Linked DNA regions of Zea mays. The protein of the gene in region 1 interacts with the protein of each later gene in a pairwise test. Links are inferred from orthologs where the notes say so. Each region holds a gene or a part of one and is shown in the gene's direction. Other genes may lie near its edges.

The links.
Region 2: the proteins of Trihelix transcription factor GT-3a (region 1) and WUSCHEL-related homeobox 4-like interact in binary tests that used the Arabidopsis thaliana proteins (3 or more experiments, as listed by UniProt). The link is inferred for Zea mays from reciprocal best matches to the Arabidopsis thaliana genes AT5G01380 and WOX4.

What each region holds. Positions count from the first base shown.
Region 1 is NC_050105.1:143,199,582-143,205,394, reverse strand, and holds Trihelix transcription factor GT-3a, read left to right. Parts: upstream 1-2,403; 5' UTR 2,404-2,549; coding exon 2,550-2,789; intron 2,790-4,459; coding exon 4,460-5,035; 3' UTR 5,036-5,301; downstream 5,302-5,813. Other genes in the region: putative putrescine-binding domain family protein, read left to right, coding at 5,597-5,813. UniProt on the Arabidopsis thaliana protein: Probable transcription factor that binds specifically to the core DNA sequence 5'-GTTAC-3'.
Region 2 is NC_050105.1:147,565,223-147,570,293, reverse strand, and holds WUSCHEL-related homeobox 4-like, read left to right. Parts: upstream 1-1,828; 5' UTR 1,829-2,208; coding exon 2,209-2,469; intron 2,470-2,596; coding exon 2,597-2,896; intron 2,897-3,018; coding exon 3,019-3,210; 3' UTR 3,211-3,371; downstream 3,372-5,071. UniProt on the Arabidopsis thaliana protein: Promotes differentiation and/or maintenance of the vascular procambium, the initial cells of the developing vasculature.

The sequences.
Region 1 (5,813 bases):
AGTGAACCGAAAACCGACTGGTGGAATCCGGTTCAACCGGTTTTAGAACCGGTTCAACCGAATTTCAGTCAGATTTCCCCAACGACCACCAGCTTTTGGGGCACCTTTATATACACCTCCCACACTCTTCCCCACAGCAGAGCACGCACAAAACTTCATTCCCAACCTGAGAAACACCTCCCACTCTCTCTCACACACCTCTTGCCTCTCCCATTTCAAATCTTTGGAGAGAAATCTTTGAGTGAGTTTGAGAGCTGCGGTTTTTGTGCTTCATCTCCAAATCTCTCTTGCTCTTCTTGATTCGAGCTTTGGTACTACATCGAGTTCTTTGTGGATTCATTACTCTTGGAGCTTCTAGCTCCTAGACGACTAGGTGTCTCTTGTGAGTCTCCAAATCTTGTGGAAGACCACAAGAAAGTTTGTATTACCCGCTCGTTTGAGCAAAGATTATTGTGTGGGCTTGACCTTTGTGGTCGGCAAAGGGAGGATTAGGGTTGAAAGAGACCCGACTCTTTGTGGGCGCCTCAACGAGGAAGTAGGGCACCTTAGTGGTGTGACCGAACCTCGGGATAAATCTTGTGTCTCTTGTGTTCTTGCTCATTGTGTGTTTGTGTTCTTCGTTCTCTCACCATTGCGTGGAAGATTTGTTTATATCTTTTTGGTGTGTGGATTTTGAGAAGTGCCCTTCTCAGATCTACTACTTTGAACCCTGTGGATCATTTAGAACATCTCATTTCCAAAGTTAACTGGGTGAATTTTGAGATCAATTCAGTTTTACCCAGTTTGCTTCTAGTTTTTGTTGAAAAAGTTTTAACTTGCCTATTCACCCCCCCTCTAGGCAACTTTCAAAAAGAGAGGTCTACGGCTGATTTGTAATCATCAATCGAATCAATACAACTTCTATTCGCATTTATTTCCAGTACAATTAGGAGTAGTTCTAGTCTAGTTCTAGTTTAGCCTCTCGATCCCCAAATTCTTCGCCTCTCTTCGACTCTATGCCGATTAGAGGAGTCTAGGTCGGCCGACCCGAGCCTAGACAACACCTAGGATCTCTTCTCCCCGACGGGGTCCCTCCCGGGAGCGAGATCCAGGCGCCGCCGGCGATCTTCCGCTGCCCCTGCGCACGCGCGGACCGTCCGGCCCCAGGGCGCGGACCGTCCGGCCGTCAGGCAGGAAACCCTAGCCCCTGCGCCAGGTCGCGGACTATCCGGCCCCAGGCCGCGGACCGTTCGCGCCTGACTAGAGACCACCGCCGTCGGTTCTTCTTGAGTATTTGGCGCTCCGAAAAGGCGTCAACAGACTGGAAGCTCCAACTTCCCCAGCCTGTAGAAAGCACCATGTGCCTCTCTACAGAAGCCACCGCGTGATGACCAGCTTCATCCGGCAGGGTTGGTAGTGGGTACAGTAGCAAGCTAGCCTAGTCTAATATAAGAACAAATTTATATTGTCCATCCCATATTGTCTTGAATGGGATTTTCTTTTTTGAAACCAGTGAAATTTCAGCTCTTGCTGTCGTGCAAATTTGTACCCATTGGCCATGGTTGAACTTCCAATAGCTGTTGCTGATCTGGGCCCAGCATTGTTGTTTCTTGGGAGTGCATTAGGTCATTCTTAGTGATAGTTTTATCACACCATTTTCAATGTTATCAGTCAATAAGAGTAAGATGAAAAATAGAATAAAATATGTTTTCTCAGTAAAGAGTTTCATAAAATAATTTTATAGACTAACGTGTGATTAAAATTTAAATGTTACATCTAAACAGTCAATAGATTTAGATGAAAAATATGCAGATGAAATAAGTTAGTCTTAATGGTAGTTTCAAACGCTTTTTAATACCTTGGAAATGAGTTGATATAGTTTTATATTGATGAAACTAGTTTCACCTATTTCATAATAAATATAGTGTACTAATTCATTTATGAAATTTATAATGAAACTTCTATTAAGACGGACTCCAGCAAATTACCTAAAATTTACCCTTATAAACTGTTTTGTACGGTAGAGTGCACTGCTTGTAAAATAGGGTTTGAATATAAGTATAGGGATTGGTAAGCTGATAGAAATAGTCTAAGAGTGATCTTAGAGTATACATGCTTTGTTTTGACAGGGAATATTATCTCGTTATCTTGGGCGGCACCGGGCCCGGACCCGGTAGGGTCTAGTCCAGCTAAAAGCCCACTTGCATTAATGAACAACGTCAATTTCCCCCTTTTCCCCTATGAAAAAGAGTAGAAAAGAAATCAAAATGGATGCAGGGAGACAGCTAGTGTGAATGCGGCAGGCCCCGTTCTCTGAGACCGAGCTGTGTGAATGGGCAGAAAAGTAATGGCAGGCAGAGGCAGGCAGAGGCGAGAAGCAAGAAGAAAAACGAGGGGAGCAAGGAAATCGAGGCAAGAAAGCAAGGGCAGAGGCGCAGAGCCTGCAATCTGCTGTCCCCCGTCGCCGCCGCTGCCTCGCCGTTGCAATCGAGGCAAGAAAGTTAGGGAGTGCTGGCGTTGGGCAAGTCGCTCTGGGCCTCTGGGGAGACGGGGGCTGGAGGGGCGGCGAGATGATGGAGGCCGGCGGCGCGGGAGCGGGGGGAAGGGACGAGAGGGTGCCGCAGTGGGGCGTGCAGGAGACACGGGAGCTGATCGTGGCGCGCAGGGAGATGGAGCGGGAGGCCGTCGCGGCGCGCCGCAGCGCCAAGACGATGTGGGAGGCCGTCGCGGCGCGGCTCCGGGAGCGAGGCTACCGACGAACCGCCGAGCAGTGCAAGTGCAAGTGGAAGAACCTCGTCAACCGCTACAAGGCATTCATCCCTCGTCCGGCAGATAACTTTCTACCCTAGTCTCGTAACGCTAGATTGGCCGGTCTGTTCTGGACCACCAGACAACGATGTTCTGCTGTATTGTTCTTGTGTTGATGGCAAAATGATATGCATTGCTGGTTCGTGACTTCGTCTTTAGGCTCAGCGTCCCCAAATTGGTCTTCTATCTTGATAGGTCCACTTTGAGTTGTTTAGGAGTGTGTCCACAACTCCCCTTGTTCACCTTCGCTGCATTATTTGCGCAACCATTTCCATCAGTGAAGGGCATTCAGAAATCTTAGTCTTTATATGTTCATGATAAGTAGAGAAAAGAAAACTGATTTTGCAGAATTTATCCTTGCATTGTGCCACACATGTTGGAACGTAATGCTTTCAATTGCACATTTTGAAGTAGGTGGATAGTAAATTAGTAATGCTAAGATCTATGGATAGTACATACCGCCTCCATTCCAAATGATAATACATTTTGACTTTTCTAAATACATAGCTTTTGTTATGCACTTATTATGTAATTAGGTATACACCGTGTCTAGATACATAGTAAAAGCAAAGTATGTAGAAAAACTAAAATATCTTATAATTTGGAACGGGAGAGTACTGATTAATTTACAGCACATTAGGGTTTTTAAAAACTTTCTTAGTCCAATTGTTGTTTCTGTTTTCAAGTTTTCTTCACAAATTTCACATAGAAGCAATGCTTGCTTTTGTTACTATATTTTGTATGTTTTGGCATTTAAAAAGGTGTATTCCACTTTGTTTTGTTCTGAAATGAAAACATGGCACAAATATTTCTAAGAAACTAGGATAACTTATCTAGTACAGTGAATTATTGCTAGTGATAGAAAGGGGAATCCACCTACCATTATCTTTGTTGATTGTGAGTCTATGATGCATGAAAAGTCAATGTGGAATCTCAAGGGTTTGAGGGGAATTGAGTGGCAAATTGTCCAGAATTGGTGGTTCAGTTAAAGTTAGATTTTCACTTTTTGAGAGCGTGGATTCATTGTGAACCCTAAAGGAGGCTTTCTTCACATTGGTTAGTTTGTCTGAGAAATTGCACTTGAACTGTCTCAGAGTGCGACATCTGTCCTGCACCGGCAAAAAGAGGGAGTGGTGGTAAAATTATGATACTACCTGTTAGGTGTGTGCGAGAGAGAGCATGGATGCGTTGATTAGGTTTATTGAGAGAAAAATGTGCAAAAGCTGTACATTATTGCCGACGTTCCTGCTGACCACAATAGTCATGTAATATTGGTCTTCTGCTGCAATAGTTATAAAAGACTTCGTATTTTGTCCCAATCTCAATGATAACGTCAGGAAATAGATCAATTATATTTTTTTCATCAGGAGCTAATGAAAAATTGGAAGTTCCATGTTAGGTTCAGATTAACTCTGCTGTTGGGTTGGTTGGGTGGTGGGTCCAATTTCAAGCTTTGCATTATAATGTATTCTTCTTTTATGCTCAAGAAAACCCAGTTCCTACTTACAGAGACTGGCCGATTGTTTATTGTTTGGACACATAGTTGGTTCATCTTTGCCTTGTGGTCTGTCCACCTTGTTTGCTTTGTGATTTCAACAAATAGTTAGTACTTTCATTCTTTAGTTTATTGTAAGCACAAGCTCATACGTTATGCATCCTTCCATTTCATCAGGGGAAAGAAACTTCTGATCCAGAAAATGGTAGGCAGTGTCCCTTCTTTGATGAGCTGCATGCCGTCTTCACAGACCGTGCAAGAGATATGCAACGACAACTCCTTGAGTCTGAATCTGGGGCTTCTGTCAAAAGGAAACTGAAGCAACCTGGTGGTGACCGGTCATCTGGGCTGTCTGATGACGAGGGCAATGGTGGTGAAGAAAGTGATGAGGAGAAACCGTTGCCCAGCAGGAAGAGGAAAGCTGACGACAAGAAACAGCAACATCAAAGAATGTCTGGGAAATCAAGAGCAGGATTTTCAAGCATACATGAACTGCTGCAGGATTTCCTTGTGCAACAACAGCACATTGATGTCTGGTGGCGGGAGATGATGGAGAGACGCGCCCAGGAGCGGATTGTTTTTGAACAGCAATGGCGGCAGACAATGCAGAAGCTGGAGCAGGAGAGGTTGCTGTTGGAACACTCGTGGATGGAACGGGAGGAGCAAAGAAGGATGAGAGAAGAAACACGGGCAGAGAAAAGGGATGCACTCCTGACTGCTCTGTTGAACAAACTCCTACAGGAAGATCTATAGCCGGATAAGCTTGCTCTTCATTTCGTCAGGGTATAGTTGCAGTAGTGGACATTGTTTTGTCACCTTGTTTTAGCAATTCTTTGTAGCTGCTACATATATTAACATGTGTTTGTTCAAAGAAAATTGTTTCTTATAGCATTTGTATTAGGTTCCTAGGCATTCTTTTCCAGTTATTTGGTGGAGTAAAAGTTAATTTTATGTTTAATTGTGGTTGTAAGTATCATACTGTCAGGTAAGTATACAGATCAATGCTAATACGCTTTAGCAGTTGGCTCTCTATCAGTAATGGACAGAAGTTCATGTAATCTGCTTGTTCAAAAAAATAAGTTCATGTGGCATCAAAGAAAAGAAGTTCATGTAATGTATGTGTTCGAAGATAAGCTCATGTACAGTCAGATAGATCTTGAGATCAACCACATTTATTCACAGGTTTCAGCAAATGCTTTCAGCTAGCAACCGGCCTTATGCGAGAACAACTGGATAAGCCCATCACCCATCGCCCATCGGCAGCAGAAGGCCACTGCCCGGACGGAGCTTCCGAAAGGGAACCGGGCAGCGGCAATGGAGGGACAGCCGCTCCATCTCCTCATCGCCCAGTTCCACCACCCTTGCCTACGCGGTCTCATCCCCAACTACCCTACCCACTACCTGCCCACCTCCCGCCTCCGACTCCGCGTACAGCGTCGCAAGCCGAAGCAGCTCGCCGCAGTGCCTTCGAGGCGTCCATCGGGCAGCCAAGCCGACGCGCCTGGCCTGGTGCCGGTGCCTAACACGGTGG
Region 2 (5,071 bases), about 4.4 Mb from region 1:
CATTCAACTCAACACGATCACCCACACAAGGCACTTTCTCTAGCTTAAATCTCTTCAATATAGCACTTGCGAGGCTTTAGATGGCTTAAAGTTGTTGCGATGAATGTATGAAGGTTTGCTCTAGCTCTTGTGTCTTTAACGTGTTGGTTGTGTGTGTATTTATAGGCCCCAACTACACATATAGCCGTTGGAATTGAATGGGCTTATATATATGCACAGTTTGCGGGGACTTGCATCAGACCTTGCACAAAGATGGTTGTTAATTTGTAGCTCGCTTCTACTCCCTCATCTTAATTCTTTCTTCCATATCAGCATTTAGCCGGCTTATAGCCAACTATTATATTTGTTCTTATGGAACTAGAATAAAAAATGTTTATGTATTATATTATAGGACGGAGGGAATAGTTGGTGTACCTTGTTGTGGGTCACAAGATAAAATGCATATGCATGGCTAGCTGTGCAGTATCCTGTTCAAGCTAGTAGTAGGTCTAACGGTGGATGGCGGCGCTAACTCCGAGGTCAACCTCAGCATCCATCATGCTGGTTCTCGCTTTCTCGTTTGCATGCATGCCTTTTCCAATCATATATTAGCGTGTTGCAGCCTCACTGATGATGGTCTGATATTAGAGGTTTTTTAGATGGTCTAATCTTGACAGGGCCTATGTGCCTAGCTACATATAGCTAGGAATGGCAAAACCAGTCTTATTAGATTGTGGCAAGAGATATGCATGCATCGTCTCTTTAATTTGTTGGCCTTCACGCATCTGGTTTTGTGATGCGCAATCATGCAGATGGGGTGCAGGCCAGTTTACAGACAAGGGAGCGAGATGAGTGTCGTCGATCCAACGAAAACGATATCATTCATTCATACAGATAGAGTAGACAGTAAGGCCCCGTTTGGTTTGGGGTGACTAAAGTTTAGTGACTAAAGTTTAGTCACTTTTAGTCTCTAAAGAAGCAAACATAGTGACTAAAGTGGGGTGACTAAACTTTAGTTCTTTAGTCACTAAGGGGTGACTAAAATGGACTAAAGTAGTATTTTTACCTTATTTGTCCTCTCCACTTTCTTCTTATAGCAAACATCCATTAATTAATAGGGGTAAAATAGTCATTAGTCACAACAATTAATGCCCTTTAGTCCGGTTTAGTCACTCGAACCAAACGGGGTACTTCAGCGACTAAATTTTAGTCACTAAACTTTAGTCTAGTGACTAAAGGAACCAAACAGGGCCTAAGTAAGATACCAATACCAAGAGATCGAGGCTAATTAGCACATTTAAAATGGAGGGACTAGAAGGTTGCTAAATAAATTACTTGCTCTGGTTGCTGAATAAACTCTTTTTAAAAAGAACAGTACTACCTGATGAACTTTACTATACTCCGACCTGCAGCTGCAGGTACAGAAGACACGAGCTTTCTATACATCTGAAGACTGAAGTAGTGAGAAGCGTCCTCCATTTTGATTAGCGAGGTGAAAAAGCTAGCTAGCTGTCGCGTGATCTGGTAACATGCACTCCGAATACTCTAGTTATTAGGTGAAGATTAACCGGGTCGTAGCTAGGCTGGATTCAAACTCCCGCTTTAACAGCATGCGAACGTACAGAGCGGGGAGAGAGAGAGAGAGAGTCGATATATATTCTCCCCATATATTCCTTGTCAATCGTCATGAATTTCGACAGGAAAGGTGAAAAGAGGGCAGCTCCATGCGAGAGAATTTTACCTTTTCACCTTTATTACTGCTCCTGCTTTTCGTGGCTCCGCTGATGATTGCGATTCACCACCACCACCACCACCACCGCTCTAGCTGCTGACGCCCTTCCGATCCATCAGCAATCTCCACATTCCCTGTCGCCCGCCGGCCCCAAGACCATGAGCTAGCTAGAGCACGCCTTTACCTCGACATGCATGGTCGTCTCGGTCGATCGCACAACACTCAAACCCTCGCTACGGCTACGTACAGCACCGGCCTTCTTAGCTTTCTTTCTCCAGCGATCGATCGTCTCCGGCCGGCCGGCCGGTCTCCCCATATATAAACTCGCGAGGACGCTCGATCCCTTCTCGTCTAGTAGTCGTTAGCATAGCCCTAGCCCTCAGCTTTCCGTTTTTACATATAGTACGCACTCTCTCGCTCGATCCGCTACATCGGTCGCGCGCCTAGCTCTACAAAGTTTGAAGCTTTGTAGCTCTACATCTACAGAGTTCATTAGCATGAGGCTTCACCATTTCCATGTGGCTTACTTGGATAAAGCGGCAGGCTCGCCGCCGCCGTCGTCGTCACCACCATCCATCTCACCAGCATCTCACAGTCACAGCTCGTCGTCTGCTGCCACCATCGTCCCTCTGGCCCTCCAGCAATACTGTCTACGCCCGCTTGCGCCCAAGATCTCCTTCCCTGAGGCGAGGAAGATGGTCGTCCTTCCTGAGTTCGCTCGCGTCAGGAATGCTTCTTCGAGGCTGCTAAACTGCACGGTTAGGCTATAAACCAAAGAGAGAGCCCATGTACTAGCTAGCTAGGAGGACAGTAGTAGAAACACATATCTCTAGCATGCATGGTGTACGTACGTATCTCTTAATTTTCATTGTATCAAAGCTGCAGGTGCAAGTGCCGCCGACGACGACGACGGTGGGTGGCACGACGCGGTGGAACCCGTCGCCGGACCAGATAAGGGTGCTGGAGATGCTGTACCGCGGGGGGATGCGCACGCCCAACTCGTTCCAGATCGAGCAGATCACGGAGGAGCTCGGCAAGTACGGCCGGATCGAGGGCAAGAACGTCTTCTACTGGTTCCAGAACCACAAGGCCCGCGAGCGCCAGAAGCAGAAGCGAGCTGCCCTCCTCACCCTCAGCACCACCACCACTGCTTCCACGCTGCTACCACCAGCTGCTGAAACCAAGGTATATAACTATATATGCATTGCAGCAGCTTGCGTTATGTATATATGCATTGCATGCATAAATTTAAATGCAGTGAACAGCTAGCAGTATCATCATATGTACGTACGTATGCATGCATGCAGGAGGGAGTGGAGACGAAAAAAGAAGAAGCGTGTGAAGATGCATCGAGCCGCAAGCGGAGGTGCAGGGCCTGGGAAGATGTCGTCGTCCATGGTGGCGGCGACGATGCCGGTACGGAGGTAGCTGACGACTACTACACCGACGACGATGTGACCCTGGAGCTCTTCCCGCTGCGTCCTGATCAGGGGAAATAAAGCTAGCTAGCTAGCTAGCTAACTAATTAAGTAAGGCGGACAAGCGTACGTATATGCGTAAAGTATATGCCCGATCCATGTCTATGTCCTCTCGGTCGTTCCATGCATGCATGTTCCCCTGGATCGGGCTGCTGTTCGTGCGAACACTAAACACTTTGGTCATTGGCGCGTTGCATCCACGTGTGTGCTTTGTATGGTAATAGTGTGGACTAATGGACATGCTTGGATTGCTCAAACGTACGCTTCTAGTGACAGTGAGTGGTCAAAAGTGTCATTGACTCAATAGTACTTCGTTTAATTTGTTCAGCCTACTACACCACCCATGAGACAAATCAAATCAAGGGAAGGTTAGATTGATGTCGGGTTGCCAACTAACACCACATGTGATGTCATGTTGCTAACTAACCGACACTGAAAAAGCTCATTTAACTTAGCTCATATCTGGGCGCCAAAGTTGATGACATCACTATCAAGTGGGCCATGCTAAATAGGGTGCCACTATACATGACACGGTTTATAGTGCTTCAACAAGGCACAATGCGATCCATATACGGTTTGTGCCATGTAACACCCAAAATTCCTATTTTTCAGAATTACATAAATTTCTCCAAAAGATTATTTCAACTGTTGCTTTTATGTGAATTCTACAGATAAAATATTTTTTCTTAAGATAAATGAGTGGGTAAATATTACATTTTGTCTATTCATTGCATGCTTGAGCATTTATTCTTGTTTGCATGAATTTAAATTTGACTTTGAATTTGTTTGATTTGAATTTGAATTCAAAAATGAAAATTAAAATTGAAAAGGAAACACAGAAAGAAAAATAACTCACCTCGTGGATCTGTTCTCTCCTTTCCCCTCTCTCCTTCGATCGTGTGGGCCAAGTGGGCGGTCCACTTTCCCCATGCTCGAGCCGAACTGGACCGAAGTCGTAATCCATAGGTTTGTTTTTCTAAGAATAGTGTTCACATGCGTGGACTCTCAATCGCAACGGTTGATGCGTAGGTCCCACTCATCGGAGTCGTCTCTTACATAGAGTCCATGAACCCAATCTTCATGATTATTATGAGGTTTAATATGAGGAAAACTCTAGAAGTACAAATATAACCAATATATTATTATAATAAGAGAGACCAGTCTGAGCCTTCAACAAACATGAAAAAATCCCAACATACAAGGCATAGTCCTAAGTAGATAGGACATGATTCTAAAGGATAATGAAGGCACATTTGTTATTGTAAAGAGTTGGAATCTCATACGACTAGGTTACCAGATTAGACCTATCATGTAACCTACTAGTTTTCATCCTTGTAACCGCTTCCTCCTTGGAATATAAAAAGAGGGACGGGGAGCCCCAAGAGCGCAGACCCGAACACAACAGATTAATATCCACCAAAACATCGGATGTAAGGTATTATCTCATGACGAGAGCCTGAACTAGTCTAAATTTTGTGTCTCTTTGTGCATTGTGTCCTTGGTCACATTGTTTTGTCATATATAATGTTTACTATTACATTCTCATCATGTTAGGTTAACTTGATGGGACCCATATATTGAGTGTTGAGTAGTTTTATTTTCCCTATACCTTGTTTACACCTGCAATTAAGAAGAGTAAACCAACAAGCAAAGGTAACCAATAAGCATCCTACATGATAACTTTCATGAAACCTTGTCAAACTTATATCACAACCTATCCATATGATATCATGATATATCGACAAGTTTTATGATTTCTGACTTCGTTTGCTTTTTATACAATCTAAAAATAAGCGGACCACAAGTTCGTGGTCATGTTTCGTGAAAAGGATGTTCGAAATTTTTGGTTTGTTCTTGGATAAGGCCTCAATTTATGATCGAT